Alligator mississippiensis: one gene and its partner. The protein of the gene in region 1 interacts with the protein of each later gene in a biochemical or structural test. Links are inferred from orthologs where the notes say so. Each region holds a gene or a part of one and is shown in the gene's direction. Other genes may lie near its edges.

What was found.
Region 2: the proteins of MCMBP (region 1) and MCM5 form a complex in vitro, tested with the Homo sapiens proteins (2 studies listed by BioGRID). The link is inferred for Alligator mississippiensis from reciprocal best matches to the Homo sapiens genes MCMBP and MCM5.

What each region holds. Positions count from the first base shown.
Region 1 is NC_081829.1:87,094,693-87,102,233, forward strand, and holds the start of MCMBP (mini-chromosome maintenance complex-binding protein), read left to right. Parts: upstream 1-4,509; 5' UTR 4,510-4,596; coding exon 4,597-4,654; intron 4,655-6,128; coding exon 6,129-6,214; intron 6,215-6,303; exon of another isoform or gene 6,304-6,410; intron 6,411-7,541. Other genes in the region: SEC23IP (SEC23-interacting protein), read right to left, coding at 4,222-4,378. UniProt on the Homo sapiens protein: Associated component of the MCM complex that acts as a regulator of DNA replication.
Region 2 is NC_081827.1:101,598,330-101,605,311, reverse strand, and holds the start of MCM5 (DNA replication licensing factor MCM5), read left to right. Parts: upstream 1-3,936; 5' UTR 3,937-4,019; exon of another isoform or gene 4,020-4,043; intron 4,044-4,096; exon of another isoform or gene 4,097-4,205; 5' UTR 4,206-4,219; coding exon 4,220-4,386; intron 4,387-6,204; coding exon 6,205-6,331; intron 6,332-6,463; coding exon 6,464-6,592; intron 6,593-6,982. UniProt on the Homo sapiens protein: Acts as a component of the MCM2-7 complex (MCM complex) which is the replicative helicase essential for 'once per cell cycle' DNA replication initiation and elongation in eukaryotic cells.

The sequences.
Region 1 (7,541 bases):
TTGAATTCTTTAATGTCATATATAGATTATTATAATTACTGATATCTGAGACAAGAAAGGATTTCTAACACCACTAAATTTTTATTTGCAAAAAACACTACTTTTATTCTATGTTCCAGAGCTGTTTGAAAGTACATAGCTAACAATGTTTTCTTTGAAAATCACAAGAAAAGTTTCTGATAGAAATTTTGCAAATCTAGTTCTTCCCAATATTAAACCTGCCAAACTAACCTTGAATGTAAATTTGAAGGCCATTTGATATACAGTAAGACAGCAACAGAAAAAAGGGCTGATCACAAAAACAACTGTGTTCACATATAATGGTAATATATAACTGTATTAACGACTTTTCTTCATATGCTGCAGTCCTTTTTTAACAGTAGTTCTGACCACATCTTTAACCAAGGCCATCTGCCCAACAATCATTTCAAAGCAATGTACCATTTTAGTGTGCTCAACTCTGCTCCTATGGATGATATACACCAGGGGTGGGCAAAATGAGGCCCATCAAGCCACTCCATCCGGCCCGTGAGGCCCCTAAAAAATTTAGAAAATAAATATTTATCTGTCCTGGGGTGCCTGTCATGTGGCCCTCGATGGCTTGCCAAAACTAAGTAAGCAGCCCTCTGCCCAAAATAATTGCCCGCCCCGATACAGACTCTTCTGAAGCTGAGCAAAAGACAGCATCCTTCCTTCTCCAAAAGCTGCCAGCTTTTAAAGACAAAAGATTTATGAAGGCACCTTATTTCCAGATAGTATCTGGCAATTCACTTTGGTTTTGATTCCAGAAGACTATGGTTTATAATAACTGAAAGGCTTCTTCCTTTAATGTGAAAATGACCCCTAGCTCTACATGCTGTGCAGATGATCCCTATGATGTCAACAGAGCTTTGCAGGGGTCCAAGGATCCACAAAGGCAGAGCATCAAGCAGGACCAAACCTTAATCTGACAAGTACAGCATTCCATCATACCCCTAAAACCATCCTGCAGGAGTCAGGCAGTGATATGCACCCTGGCTAGCAGGCCTTTTGTTTTCAATACACTGTACCTGGAAATCTATGCCTGACTAATGTCTAAAGCAAAATGCATCTTTGATCAAGAATTTTTATCAGCTCTATGGGATGGACTCCTATTACCAGATATATTTACAGTGTGGCATATCATTTATTCACCTAGCATCCACTTACAACAAATATTTGCATTACTAGGGCTTGAAAATAGCCAGCTCTTTTGGGGAAAAACTTGTGTAACTGCTACAAAGTTAACAAATATTGCCCAGAAGAAAGGAGCTGGCCATGGGGACTGTAGAAACATGGGGCGTCTATACACATGCTCAGGGAGTGGGGAGGGGAGAGAGGGGGGCCCTTTAATTACAGCGGCTCTCAGAGCCACTCTAATTAAAACACTCGGAGCATCTTGCACATCAGCGTCCCCACACTGAAAAATGGTGGTGGGGTACGTTAACTAAAGCTTGTTGAACAAGCTTTAGTTAAAGGGCCCTTGCTGCAATTTTTCAGCACGGGGATGCTAATACACAAGACACTGGAGTCTGCTGGAGCACATTAATTACCACACTCCAGCAGACTCAATTAATTGACTCTGCTCTGATGCACTATAATTACAGCGCATCAGAGCAGCCTTGCTGCATGTGTATAGGTGCCCATGGGTTTTTTTTAAGTATGTGCAGTTCATTCAGACAATCCATTGTCAAGGACATCAGCTGTTCACCAACCCAGTGTACTTATATCTTCTTACTCATCTAATGCTTTTATTTGACAAAAAGGGAAAACTGGAAGCCTCACTTAAAATTATTATAACCAAACCTGTTATACAAAAGTAAATAAATAACTAAAAGGATGCATTCAGTTCCTGATTATCCAATATTATCTTTAGTGTCTTAATAAATGTTTAATGGGCTGAATCATAGCATTGATGGATCCAAATCTTAACTTTTTGGCCCCTGTGTATTTTAATTTCTCTATAGGATTACACTAATATCATTTTGTATTTCCCAAAGAATATTAAAAGAGGCAAAAGATATGTTTTCATTGGCCATACTTTCAGGGATTTTTGCACTGCCTGAAGTTATACTAACTGGGAATTTCAAATTCAAATAGATGTACTTAAGCATGCTTATTTGTGCATGTACCTGTCAGTACACCTTCGCGACTACAGGAAAAAAAAATCATCATCACACTTATGCACTTAAGTTAATAAGGAAATTAAAGTGCACATGCTGAGCATGCTATTTTTCTTGTTTATAGCCTATTCATGAACTGATTAAGTTCTGACTCCAGGGGCAGAGAATGACATGGGACACTCCTCTGAGGACTGCTCATCATACCATGCTGGAAACATTAAAGTGGAACCATTAATTATTCTTCTACACAAAGTACCCAGCTGGGAACAGCTACACGAGAATTAAAACAGGTAGCTGAAAATATTACAAAAAGTGTTGTTTCCTCAAACATCCCAAATGTATAGCTAAAAGACACACAGGAGAAACTGCAGCTCATAGAGAATTTTCTATTAAGGTTTGGTGAACAGAAAATAGGAGATGGAAAAGAAAGTTAGCACAGAGAACGAAGTTAAGGTCAAATTAAAAGTCCGAGTAGGTATGACATTTGGCAATTGACTTGAGGCAGGACAGCATGCAGATGATGGAATAATTGACCTAGGCAAACTTGAAGTGGAAAGCTGAAGAGAAGAACTGTCTTTTCACGACTTTTCTGATTAGGTGGTGCAATGGACCAACAAGTAAGGATCAGCCAAGAAGGCCCATGGCACTGAAGTAACATCCAGGGTCACATAACTACATAAGCTACAATGTTCACCACTTGAGCACTTAGGGTAAGCACATAATTCACTTTATTGCACAGCACCACACAGGTCCCAATGTTTTGCCTCTTGCTTACACTGTAACAAACTTCAGTTGTCTGCCTATCAGTTGCATGCTACTTGTGTAGTGACTTTTTGGTCCCGCTGTAGGTAACTGCATAATTTGGGAAAGGGAGTGGGACCCAGCAGTATCCAAGCTTTTAAAGCAGCCTTGAACAACCCGACTGTGTCAATGTCAAGAGCCAGCAGCCATGTATCAGACAGGGAAGGAGGCTCTGCTCAGGGGGAACCCCAGAGACTGCGGCGCTGTTTTCCTGTCCCTCATCCATCCACAACTCCAGGCAGTTTCACTGAGCAGCGTCCGCAGGATCCTTGGACTTGTTTGCGGGGCAGTGGGCCCTGGCTGGCGTGCTCTTCTTGCTGTCCCCCTCCTTGCAACAATCATTATTAACCACAGACGCAAACTCAAGTTCCTGTTTTTTCTTCTGTTGTCCCCAGAACCTCTTCTTATATAGCTAGTTGCCTCCCTAACTGAGGGCGGTTTATAGGCATAAGCCCACTGCTGCTTTAATAACAAACAGGCCTGTCAACTTCAAGCCTGCTATCAGAGGCATAAGCCAATCAGAGAAACAAGGTGCCTGGCTTCAATGAGCTGCGAAAGGCTCCTCCTGCAGCTAAGGAGCACTGCTCACGCTGGGTCTGGGGAAACACGTAATGCTGGGCGAGCCTTGTCCCAGGCCCTAGGCCGTGCACCCCAATGGTGCACGCTGCGCAGTGCCCATGGCACTAAACCCCTGCTGCTCCCCACCCTGGGCAATGGGACCTCTGCAAAGGAAACAACGACGGGCACCAGGGCAGACGCACCGCGCCGTCGCCGCACCTAACCTACGCCAGGCCCCGGCCACTTCCCCAGAAGGCGCCGTGTGCGGGACATGGGACTGAGCATCCAAAACCCCACAGGGGGCCAGGTGCTCACTCACCTGCTCGCTTTCCTCCACCAGCCAGCTTTACCAGGACCCAAACTTCCTTCCAAGGCTGTCCCCACCACCGACCGCCCCATCGCGCCCATCAGCCTCTCCCCCACCCACACCACCGAGCCCCCTCCCCGCATTACCCACCGGGAAGCTCCCTTCCCCCATTACCCCTCCCCCATTGATCCCCCAACCCTCACTGCCCCTCCCCCATCGAGCCCCCTAACCCCACTGCCCCTCCCCCATTGATTCCCCACCCCCACTGCCCCTCCCCCATCGAGCCCCCTAACCCCACTGCCCCTCCCCCATTGCCCCTCCCCCATCGAGCCCCCTAACCCCACTGCCCTTCCCCCATCAAGCTACCTAACTCTCCTGCCCCTGCCCCTTCCCCACGACCCCTCCCGCACGTACCCGCGCCGAGCAGGGCGGGCCCCGGGGCGGGGGCGGGGGCGGTGTCGGCGGGGGCCTGGCTGACCGGGAGGAAGGGCACGGCGAAGCTGAACTCGGTGGCGGAGGAGGAGAAGAGCAGGTTGGTGCCGCCGGGCCCGGGGGGTTTGGCGGCCGCCATGTCTGCGTCCGCGTCCACGTCCACGTCCCCGGGCGTCACCGCCCCCACGGCCCCTTCCGCCCGCAGCGCTGCCCGGCTCCAAGATGGCGGCGCCGGCCTCAGCGCCTCACGCCCGGGGCGGGGCCCTTCCCCGCCGCCATTGCTGCAGCGGGAGGCAGGAAGTTGGCGGCGGCGCGGGGCTCCGTGTGCTGCCGCCCGCTCTCCCGCCCGCCCGCAACATGCCGTGCGTGGCCGACTGGCTCAACAGCCCGCTGCGCCTCGTGCAGGGCCTCTTCGGTGAGCGGGGCGGCCTCGTGCCGGCTGCCATGGGGCCAGCGCGGGGGTGCCTCAGTTTCCCCGGCCTGGCCTGGCCTGGCTGCGGGGCGGGGCGGCGTGAGGGATGTCTCCCGGTGTCGGCCTCACGCCGCAGGCTGCCCGGGCGGCGCGTGCTCGGCGCGGGTGAGGGGGGCGGTGTGGGCCGGGCCGAAGGGTTGATGCGCTTCACACGGGGCAGGGACTTGACCGGTCTCAAATAACCCTGAGACCCCCTTTCCACTTCCAAGCAGGGAAGCAACACTGATGTGGAGGGTTTCTGTCCCCCCCCCCCCGAGCCCCAAAACACCTGTGGACTGTGATCTCTGCAAGCAGGATACCTTTGGGCAGGATGGGCGTCCTGGCTGCGCTCCATCCCAAGCGGTGCGGGTTGGGATGCTGGCGGGCTGACCGACACGAGGCACAGAGTGCTTTATGTCCACACCTAACACTGAACCGCTTCAGGGACGACTGGCTCAAAATCATACGTGTTTTTTCTAGGGTGCTTGTAAAACGTTCCGGTCTAAAGTTGCACGTGCATCTAGGATCTTGGGGTTCAAAGTGTAACATTTATTGCATCTGCCCACCTTGGGGCATCAAGTGTGTGTCTGCGCACACCCTGCGAGGTGTACCGAGGAGAGGGGTGAGAACAGCTAGCTAGCCACGGCTTCTGCACCTCCGAAGTAGATGGCACGGAGACGCGAAGGCAAGCGAGGCTGTCTGAGAGAGATGTAGGGACTTCTTAAGGCGCGTATGCGTGGTTTGATCCCCGTCCGCATCGGGCTCCAAACCAACGTGAGGAGCTGGGCTTTGTGTAAGCTCAGCGAGCAAGTAGGGAGAGGTGTCAGAAATATCTTCCTGTCTGGAATCAGAAATGCTCTTCTATTACGTTGTTCTAGCCAAGCAAACGATGTTAGAAACGATTTTGAAAATGAAACCTTCAACTCTGCTCATGCATTTGGGACCTTTAAAATGCAGCAAAACCCTTGCCGAGTTCATTCACTGCCAGTTCTGCGTTTTGATCTCGTTACGGTTCCAACAGACAAAGCTTTGCCAATCCTGCACTTGGTATTAATCCATGTATGGCTTATTTTCTGGAAAAGCACTTGTGCTGAAACAAGCTTTCCAAAAACGTGACCGTGTGTGCACAGAAAGTAAGAAAGGTGGCTGATTCGCCCCTTCCTTGCCTGCTGGTCTGTGGCGTATTTGTAGTCCCGAGTTCTTGAGCCTCGTCTCACTTAAGCAGTGATGTGCTTGCTGTTATCGTTAAGAGACGGAGGAAGACATGGTGTTAAAATAGTCATAATGTGCACGTGTGCAGGAACAAGTCTCCCATAAAAATGTCGTTACCTTGCCAAACTGTGTTTACTTCACTCCGGTTCAGAGTGGTACATAAAACTCCGAAGTACTGTCCAGTTGCTTTTCTAAATACAGTTCTTTTTTTTGGTTTTTTTTCTAGCCCAAAGTGGTCCAAATCCTGAATGGGAGAAAAAAGTAACTGAATACTTCAGAGAGAAACTAAAAGAAAATAATGCTACTAACTGGGTGAGATTGTTTAGGAGTCTTTCCTTAAATTTCCTTCCTTTTGCATCAGTGATGATGATTTATTGTTTGCCAGGTTTTTCACTTTTAGAACTTGCTGATACCAGGCTGAAGAAGACACTGGAGACACTGGAAATCCCTACTTTGGCTTACCTGCAAAGTCACTGAAATGTGAAAAATCTGTCCAAAAATCAAAAGTGTAAGATCCTGATCCAAAGTCTTTTGAAACTCATGCAGTTGACTTCAGTGTACTTTGTACTATGACCCACTAGGTGGCAGTAGCTGACAAATGCAATCATCTGCAATGTATTCATTAAGGTATAAAAATCTGCCCTGGCTAGTCTAAAATTAGAGATAAATAAGTGTATACCAGAAGTTTCTGGCTAAGCACTTTCAAACTGATCAGGTTATATGATCTGTTACAGCTTTTGATGCTTTAAATGATTGGAGAAATAGTTGTTAAATTTCATATTTTAGTTTGGTTGAGGGAGATCATTTATTTTAATCTTCTACAAACTGTACCATATTATGTCAGTCTAAGCCCCTATTCTGTATTCAAAGATTAGGCAGCTAGCATGTATCTGATCTTCATATACAAGAAAAAGTTAGCTTGATTCCAAAATTGTTGGTCTACTCTGAAGGATAACTATAAAAATGGTATTATGGAATTCTGGATTTCTTGGCCCTCAAGTTAAATATGTTCAGTTTATCAGTAAAAAGAAAACCACCACAACAAACACAAGTATTTTTCCAATTTCAAAACACATTGAGAACCAAGAATCTTGTGTTTCAAGGAAAAAAACATTTTGTAACTAAAACTTTATCACCAATTGCATTTTTAACTGACTGAACTGCTAGGCATTACTAGTACCTGGGATGGAATAAAATATTTCTTTTCCTCTCTTATACAGCTGTGTGGGACCCCTGAGTTAAACTTTAAGTTGGATACAGTTACTTTAAAAAAAAAAAAAAGCAAATGCTATGGTGTGGATGTTCAGTCCGTGGTTACCATTTTTATATGATTGTAATTCCAGTAACTATATTTCACATTGAATGTATTTTTCCCTAATATGACAATGCAGTTAATACTGATTCAGAAAATCAAATAGACCTTGAATGAAAGGTGCACAGTACTGTTATTTCAGTAATTTGGAGATTTGGTTGCCTGGACAAGCCGTGCGCTTATCTTTTCCCATGGTCATCTCCTGTACAGATAAGCTTCTGTTACCTCAAAGCATGCCCTACATGTTTCTTTTGAAAGCGTGAATGCTTTGAGTACCAGAAAAGATGTTTGCTTGTTTTGCTGTGAGATGGCAGTGTTTCTTTCATG
Region 2 (6,982 bases), on another chromosome or scaffold:
GTTCCCAGCTGTGACACTAACTTGCTGTTGTGTGACTTCAGGCAAGTCTCCCTAGAGACCCTCTATGCCAGTGATTCTCAAGGTTGTAGCTGCAATATTAGTATTGTTAGATGTGCATACATCTATGCATGATTCACAAGATAAACCCAGAGATTTTACATAGTGTCAAAAAACATTCTGACCTGTTGTCATCTAAGTTCTTTGCAACAGGTTCTATTATTTTTGTAGTAAAAAAAAGGTGAAAGCTAAGAGCTGGCACTTTCGGGGGGGGGTTGCATCTCAAAAAGGTTGAGAACTACTGTCCTACACCATGGTTTCTCCATATATAAAATGGAGATAATTTAAGAACCATGTGTAAAGCATTTGAAATCTAAGAAGGGAAAGCTTTAAAGCTAGGTACGTGGCTTTTTTCCACTAAAGAGAGATAGGTGGTGAGCCAAACTCCCTCAACATTGTGCAAGCCAGATCCTAAGCTGCTACAAACTGGCAATGCTCCTTCTGATGCAGTCACTGAGAGCCTAGCCCCATTAAGCTCTTAAAAGTGCCTTGCTAAGAACTTCACTTGATTAGAAATACATTATTAAAGAAAAAAGTTAAATTCATGCTGACACCAAACTAGCAACTGATTGTGTACTACAGAACAACATGGCAGAACAACAGAAGAACATGAACAACAGAACAAAAACACCATGCAACCACATGACCCACCCTACTTACCATGGAAGCCAACACCGATTATTAATGACATGATCTTGTCCAGTGACAAGATTTGGTGCCTAGTGTGGATAGCTGAGGACAGCACCAGTAACCAGTTTTGCTAGAGTAGCAAGTATGAAAAGGATTCCCTTTCCCCGACTGAAATCTGGATGCCTGACTAGGCGGCCAGTTGCTACTCTGGCTGCAGGCTATAATCACGTCAGGCTTAATTTTATAAACAAGTGATTGTGGAAGATGCTCTTGCAGATATGTCAAAGCAGAGGTGTTGGCAAGGTCTTCTTCCTACTTCAGGGCCCCTCCTACTTGATCACCTCTCCAGTCCTCCTGAGGTTGCCTTTTCCAGTTGCCTCCTTAGTCCCTATAGACAAGTATTCATAGCTGACCTGTCTGGTGATTGCTGGCTCCTGATCTTGTCAAATGCCAACAGCTATCACAGAAGGGAGGTCTTACGGGGAGCAATACTGGGGAGAGCTGTCTGCTGATGACTGGCTCCAAACTAAAGTTCGAACCTACCCTGCCTCCCCACGCCCTTCCTTGATATCCAGACCAGCACTGCCTACTTGGAACTGAACATGTTTTGGAAAAAGCTTGTTACTGAAAATTGCTTATTTCCCTAAAGTTTGAAAAGCAGGAAATTTAGACCAAACTCGTATTTAGTCATTCACAATTCATTTGCGTTCCAGTCATCATCCCTCTCAGTCCAACAATCCTAAGAACTTCCCTCTAAGTACAATAATAAACTTCTATATGAATTCAACACGACAAACAGAACGCTTCCACAAACTAGCCACCCAAGTCTCCCTAAGTAAACAACATATTCTACCCCATCTCCCACTCATTCCTTCACTCCTGGACACACTGGTGTCTTGGTCAAGATGCCAGAGTTCTTCTGCAGCAAGTGGCTGACATTACTGAACTGGTCCTTCATGAGAGGCAGTTTAGAGGGCACCCAAGGAACAAGACAAATACATGAAAAAAAACAAGTGGCCAACCATGCAGCTCTGGGCTTTCATCCTCATTGTATAATCTCCATACCAATGTACATCCACTTATAAAAGGTTATTTATGAATAATATGACAATATCTGCTTCAGAATTGAAGTGTAGTCATTTGCTGACCTAGATGCTACTCTGAGTGTTGACCTGGCCAATCTGCATCATAAATATTGTAGCGGGTGGTGTCTTCAATTAAGGGCAACCAAAATAGTGAGGTGTATATTCCGTCTGCATGGTGCTCCTGCCACCCACGAACCTAGCACGCTACTTAATGCATAATACCTGAAACTTAAGTCACATCTAGTGTATGAGTGTGTGACCCTGGACTGGCCTCTGAGTTTTCAGAAATATTTAAAAATGTCAGGACAAATATTTAAAAATTTAAAACAATGTCAGGACAAATAATAATCTTTTAGACAAATGGCTTAACATGGGCAATTAGTACATACACCTTCTAGATGTTCACATTTGCCATCTGCTATTCAGCCACAGAACACAAGATTCCAGGTTGGTGCTGTTTTATTTTTACAGTGTTGATATCCAAGTGCACATGACTGTGTTGTTTCAGATCCCTGAGAGCCCATGTGTCCATCATAGCTGCCAGTGCTTAGCAACACAGCGCCACCCCACGGTTGTCATAAGCAATCTACTCTGGAGCTGGTAGAAATGATCTGTGCCAGCACCAAATAGCTATTGTACACTGACCTCTTCAATCCACCTACAGCTCACCTGTTATCAAGATGCCCTCGGTGCTTGCAGCATATATATCCGGAATCACGCTAGGAAGAACGGTTTTCATCAGTGATAACAAAATAGTTAGCTATCATCAACCCTCTTGCTCATCCACCTGTTTTCAACCCTTGTGCTGTATATGGGCTCTGCCAAATAGGCTTTGGATTGGCTCAAGTGGCTATGCAGCCAGGCTTCACAGATGCAGAGAGCATAAAAACTCAAGCTGCAGTCATGGCCAAACACAGAAAATTGTGCGTTGTTGATGAGTGCCCTGCACCCGGATTCGAAAGACACTACATACAGCAAACAAAGAAGCAGCTGCAGAAAGATGTGTGTTCCCCCCAAAAAGGAGACGGCATCTTTTCTATGGCAATCCTCGTGTTACCAATAGAAGGCCTAACCCAAAACCCCATGAATTAGGCAAGGTCAGGCTGAGCGCTAACTTCCCAGATTTTGGGCTAGTCCCATAGAGAAGCTGAACGACCTCTCAGTCAAAACGATGCTGCAACCACTTAGGACTCAGGAGTTGCTGGCTTCCAGGGGAGACATTTAGCCCGTTGGACTGTGACACTTTGAGTCATAGACTATGAGGTTTGGCAGGGACCTCAGGATGTCATCTAGTCCAACCCCCTGCTCACAGCAGGACCAGCACCAGCTAGATCATCCCGGCCAAGGCTTTGTCTAGCTGGGTCTTAACAACCTCCAAGGATGGAGAGTCCACCACCGCTCTGGGTAACCTGTTCCAGTGTTTTACTGCCCGCCTGGTGAGAGAGGTTTTCCTACTCTCTAACCTAAACCTCCCTTGCTGCAACTTGAGACCACTGCTCCTTCTGAGGGTTTATTTAACTCCTCATTTTGTCTTGTAGGTCATGTACCCAAGTTGGCAACAAAAACAAATAAATAAAAAATAATAATAATAATATAGTTTTGGGGTGAAAGGGGCCACGGAGGTGTGGACGGGAGGTGGGGCTGAGCCCGAGCCTGCTTGTCCTGCACGCTCCCAGCTCAAGGTTTCTTTTTCGTGTGACTCCACTCACTGCTGAGGAGGCAGGTCAGCGTAACTAACTTGGACGTGTAAGAATGGGCCATACTCGCACAGTATGGACTGCCGGGTCCCCAGCAAGGGGGCAGGTAAGGCAGCCCCACCTCGCCAGTCACACGCAGCCTCTCTGGGCATTGCCACAGAGCTGGTTGGCTCCCCCCCTCCCCCCGAACAAAATGGTTCCGTCCAGGCGACTGCCTCCCTTCTCCCCCCATATGCCCGTTCAGAATGGTTTCGTCCAGCCGCCATCTTGCGCCCATGCTCTCCCCCTTTCCCTCGCGCCTTTCGCGCCAAACTGCTCCGGGCCCCAGCTAGGGGAGGGCAGAGGGGTGGGGTCTCAACGTCTCCACCAATCCGCTCTCACCCCCATGGCAACCCAGCCGCGCGCTTCCTGTGCGGAAAGGGATGGGAGGAACCTGGCTGGGCCAATCAGAGGGGGCGGGCGAGTGTCTGGCCAATAGGGGCTTGGGCCGTAGACCGTCCCATTGTGACGTCTCTTCGGTTTTGCCGCGTAAAATCGGTGCTCGCAGCGGGTCGGTTCCTGGGGGCGAGCGGAGGTGCGGGTGGGCGCCGCTCCCGGAGGGAGGGGCTGGTCCGGGATAGGGGCCCAGTCCTCCTTAACGCGGGACAGCAAGGCTGCGTGCGGGGCTTGGCGCGAGCGGGTGGCAGGCACCGCAGGATGCCGAGCTAATGGTCCCCTCTCTCTGCCCGGCACTCAGGAGCAACCTCCACCATGTCCGGCTTCGACGACCCCGGCATCTACTACAGCGACAGCTTTGGGGGTGACCCGGCAGCGGACGAGGGGCAGGTCCGCAAGTCCCAGCTTCAGAAGCGCTTCAAGGAGTTCCTGCGGCAGTACCGCGTGGGCACAGACCGCACTGGCTTCACCTTCAAGTACAGGTGTGGGCGGCCCCCACCTCTGAGGGCCCCTCCAGCCCATTCCCGCTCTGCCGCTGTTCGCTTTCCTCCTGCTGCGTGCTCCCGCGGGCCACGGCTAGCTCTTCTGGAGCCCTCTCTTCCACCACTTCTAAAGAGCTCTTTGCAGGAGAACGAATACCTTTATCCTTGTCGGGACCCAGGTGGAAGCTGAAGCCTGGAGGGGCCCACCACTTTGCCAGGAACCAGGTGTCAAGCTAGTGGCGGAGCCAGGGATAGAGCCCGGTTCTTCCCATCTGGATCCGCTTTCCCCCCACTTTTGGACGATCCTTACAAACCTGGGACCCATGCTTCTGTCCCTCTAGTTGTCCCATGCGATCAATTGCCTCTAGTGGCCTCCCTGATTAAGGGAGGCTTATAATTGCCTTGTGGGCCTAGGGCCACATTTCCCTTGACATAGCAAATTAACCTGTCTGGTACCCCATCCCCTGGGTTATGCTGTTTCCCAAGGGCCCGCCCTGCAAAATCGGGTCTAGATCTGAATGCCAAGTTTCAGACCTGTCATCCCTGGGGTTCTGTTCAGTTCTGTCTCTAGTATAAATCAGTCGTGGGTTTCCAGCCCATGCCTTTTGGGATCTGTGAACAGGTAGTCCCAGAGCAGTGGCCACATGCGAAGGAGTGACAGAGGATTGTGGATGGTAGTGGCAGCCACCACGTGCAAGCTTCCCCCTCTGCTGCTCTGGGACCGGCAGCTGCTACTCTCCGATGGAGTGGAGTTTTAAAAAGTGCCGGATTTCAAGTTCTGGATTTTTGATATCCAGGTTTATGAGGTTATACTGTAGTTTGTACTTAAACTGTTGGGCTGTGGTTGGTGTGATGCTGGTGCACATTAATGTTAAACTCTGATAACCACTGTGGCCACAGCTGCCCCTTGTCCAATGCCATTTGTGCATAAGGATCCATATTGAAAAAGTATTAGCATGGATGTTACCTCTGTCCAGCAGTTTCCGTTCCTTTTGCTTCCACCATAGAGGGCTTGTTACTTTTCCTGCCATAAAAGACTACCTGTAGAGCAGGGGTGCCAAACTTATCCAGCCCTGCAGGCCACATAAGTGGCACAGACCCACCCACAGGCCAGATAGGGCCCATGGGTCCCTCTTCCTTTCCCTTTCCCCAGCATACTGATCCAGCAGCTGTTCCACACAGTCTGGGACCTAGGCTGTGTGCGTTGCATGCAGTATCCATTCCAGCCACTCTGGGATTTGTCCCGTGTGCAGTGCAGGTCCCAGATTGGCTGGAGCAGCCACTGAATCAGGTATGCTAAGGGAGGGAGGGGATGGGAGTCCATGGGCAGGACTTGGCCTGAAGACCAGCCCCATACCACAGGCATACACAGTGCCCCATGCGAGTCTAATTCAGGGGCAGGCAATTATTTTGGTCAGAGGGCCACTTACTGAGTTTTGGCAAGCCATCAAGGGCCGCATGACATGCAGTCAGGGGCAGATAAATATTAATTTTCAAAATTTTTTAGGGGCCCCGCAGACTGGATAGAATGACCTGGCAGGCCGTGTTTTGCCCACCCCTGGTTTAATTGGACCCAGGGGCTAGATGGCAGGGCACCATGAGCTGGATTCAATCCATAGGCTGTATGTTTGACACCCTTGCTTTAGAGCGTTTCGCATCTGCTTTCTACATAGCTGGAGGGCCACTTTGAATGTTTTGTGTGATAGTTTCTCTTCTGTTACAGTTCCCTACCTCTGGGCTTGCCAAGTTGCAGGCCTTTAAGAAAATTTGCTTGGTGCTTTTTTGCCTACAAATCCTTACTCCTACCTCATCTTGCAGGGATGAGCTCAAACGGCATTACAACCTGGGTCAGTACTGGATTGAGGTGGAGATGGAGGACCTGGCCAGCTTTGATGAGGACCTGGCAGACTACCTGTATAAGCAACCTGCAGAGCATCTACAGCTGGTAAGGATGGGGAATACCGTAGAAGGGAACACACCAAGGACTATTTTATTTAGAGCTAAGAGCTGGTGTGCCACGAGCCATTTAGCTAACCAGAGTGGTGTGTCAGTATAAGCTGTATTATTTCCTAAACAGCTGGAAGAAGCAGCAAAAGAAGTGGCTGATGAGGTCACCCGTCCTCGTCCATCAGGAGAGGAGACCCTCCAAGACATCCAGGTCATGCTGAAGTCAGATGCCCATGCTGCCAATATCCGTAGCCTGAAGGTGAGTTAAATCCACCCACTATGATGAGGTGGGAAGAAGACTAAGAACAGAACTCATCCAAAGTGTGTTTGTGTGTGTGTTGAGAGAGCTGTTAGTTCTTGCTGAACTTAATCAAGGTTAAGTTCATCTCTGTCCATCTAGACAGAACTGCACCAGATGTGACTGCAAGTTGTGACTTACTATGACTGATGGGACTTGTTAGTGTTAGGGTTACCCCTGAGTGTGGTTTTTGTGCTGCTTTAACTATATTGCTGTGAAACCTATCTAGCTAAAATAGTACAACCCCTTCATGTGAACAGAGTTAACCCACCAGAAAGTTGCTTATAGTGGTATAGTTTATTCCTCTAACTTTAATGAGTTTTATCAATGCATAGACATCATTACACAATT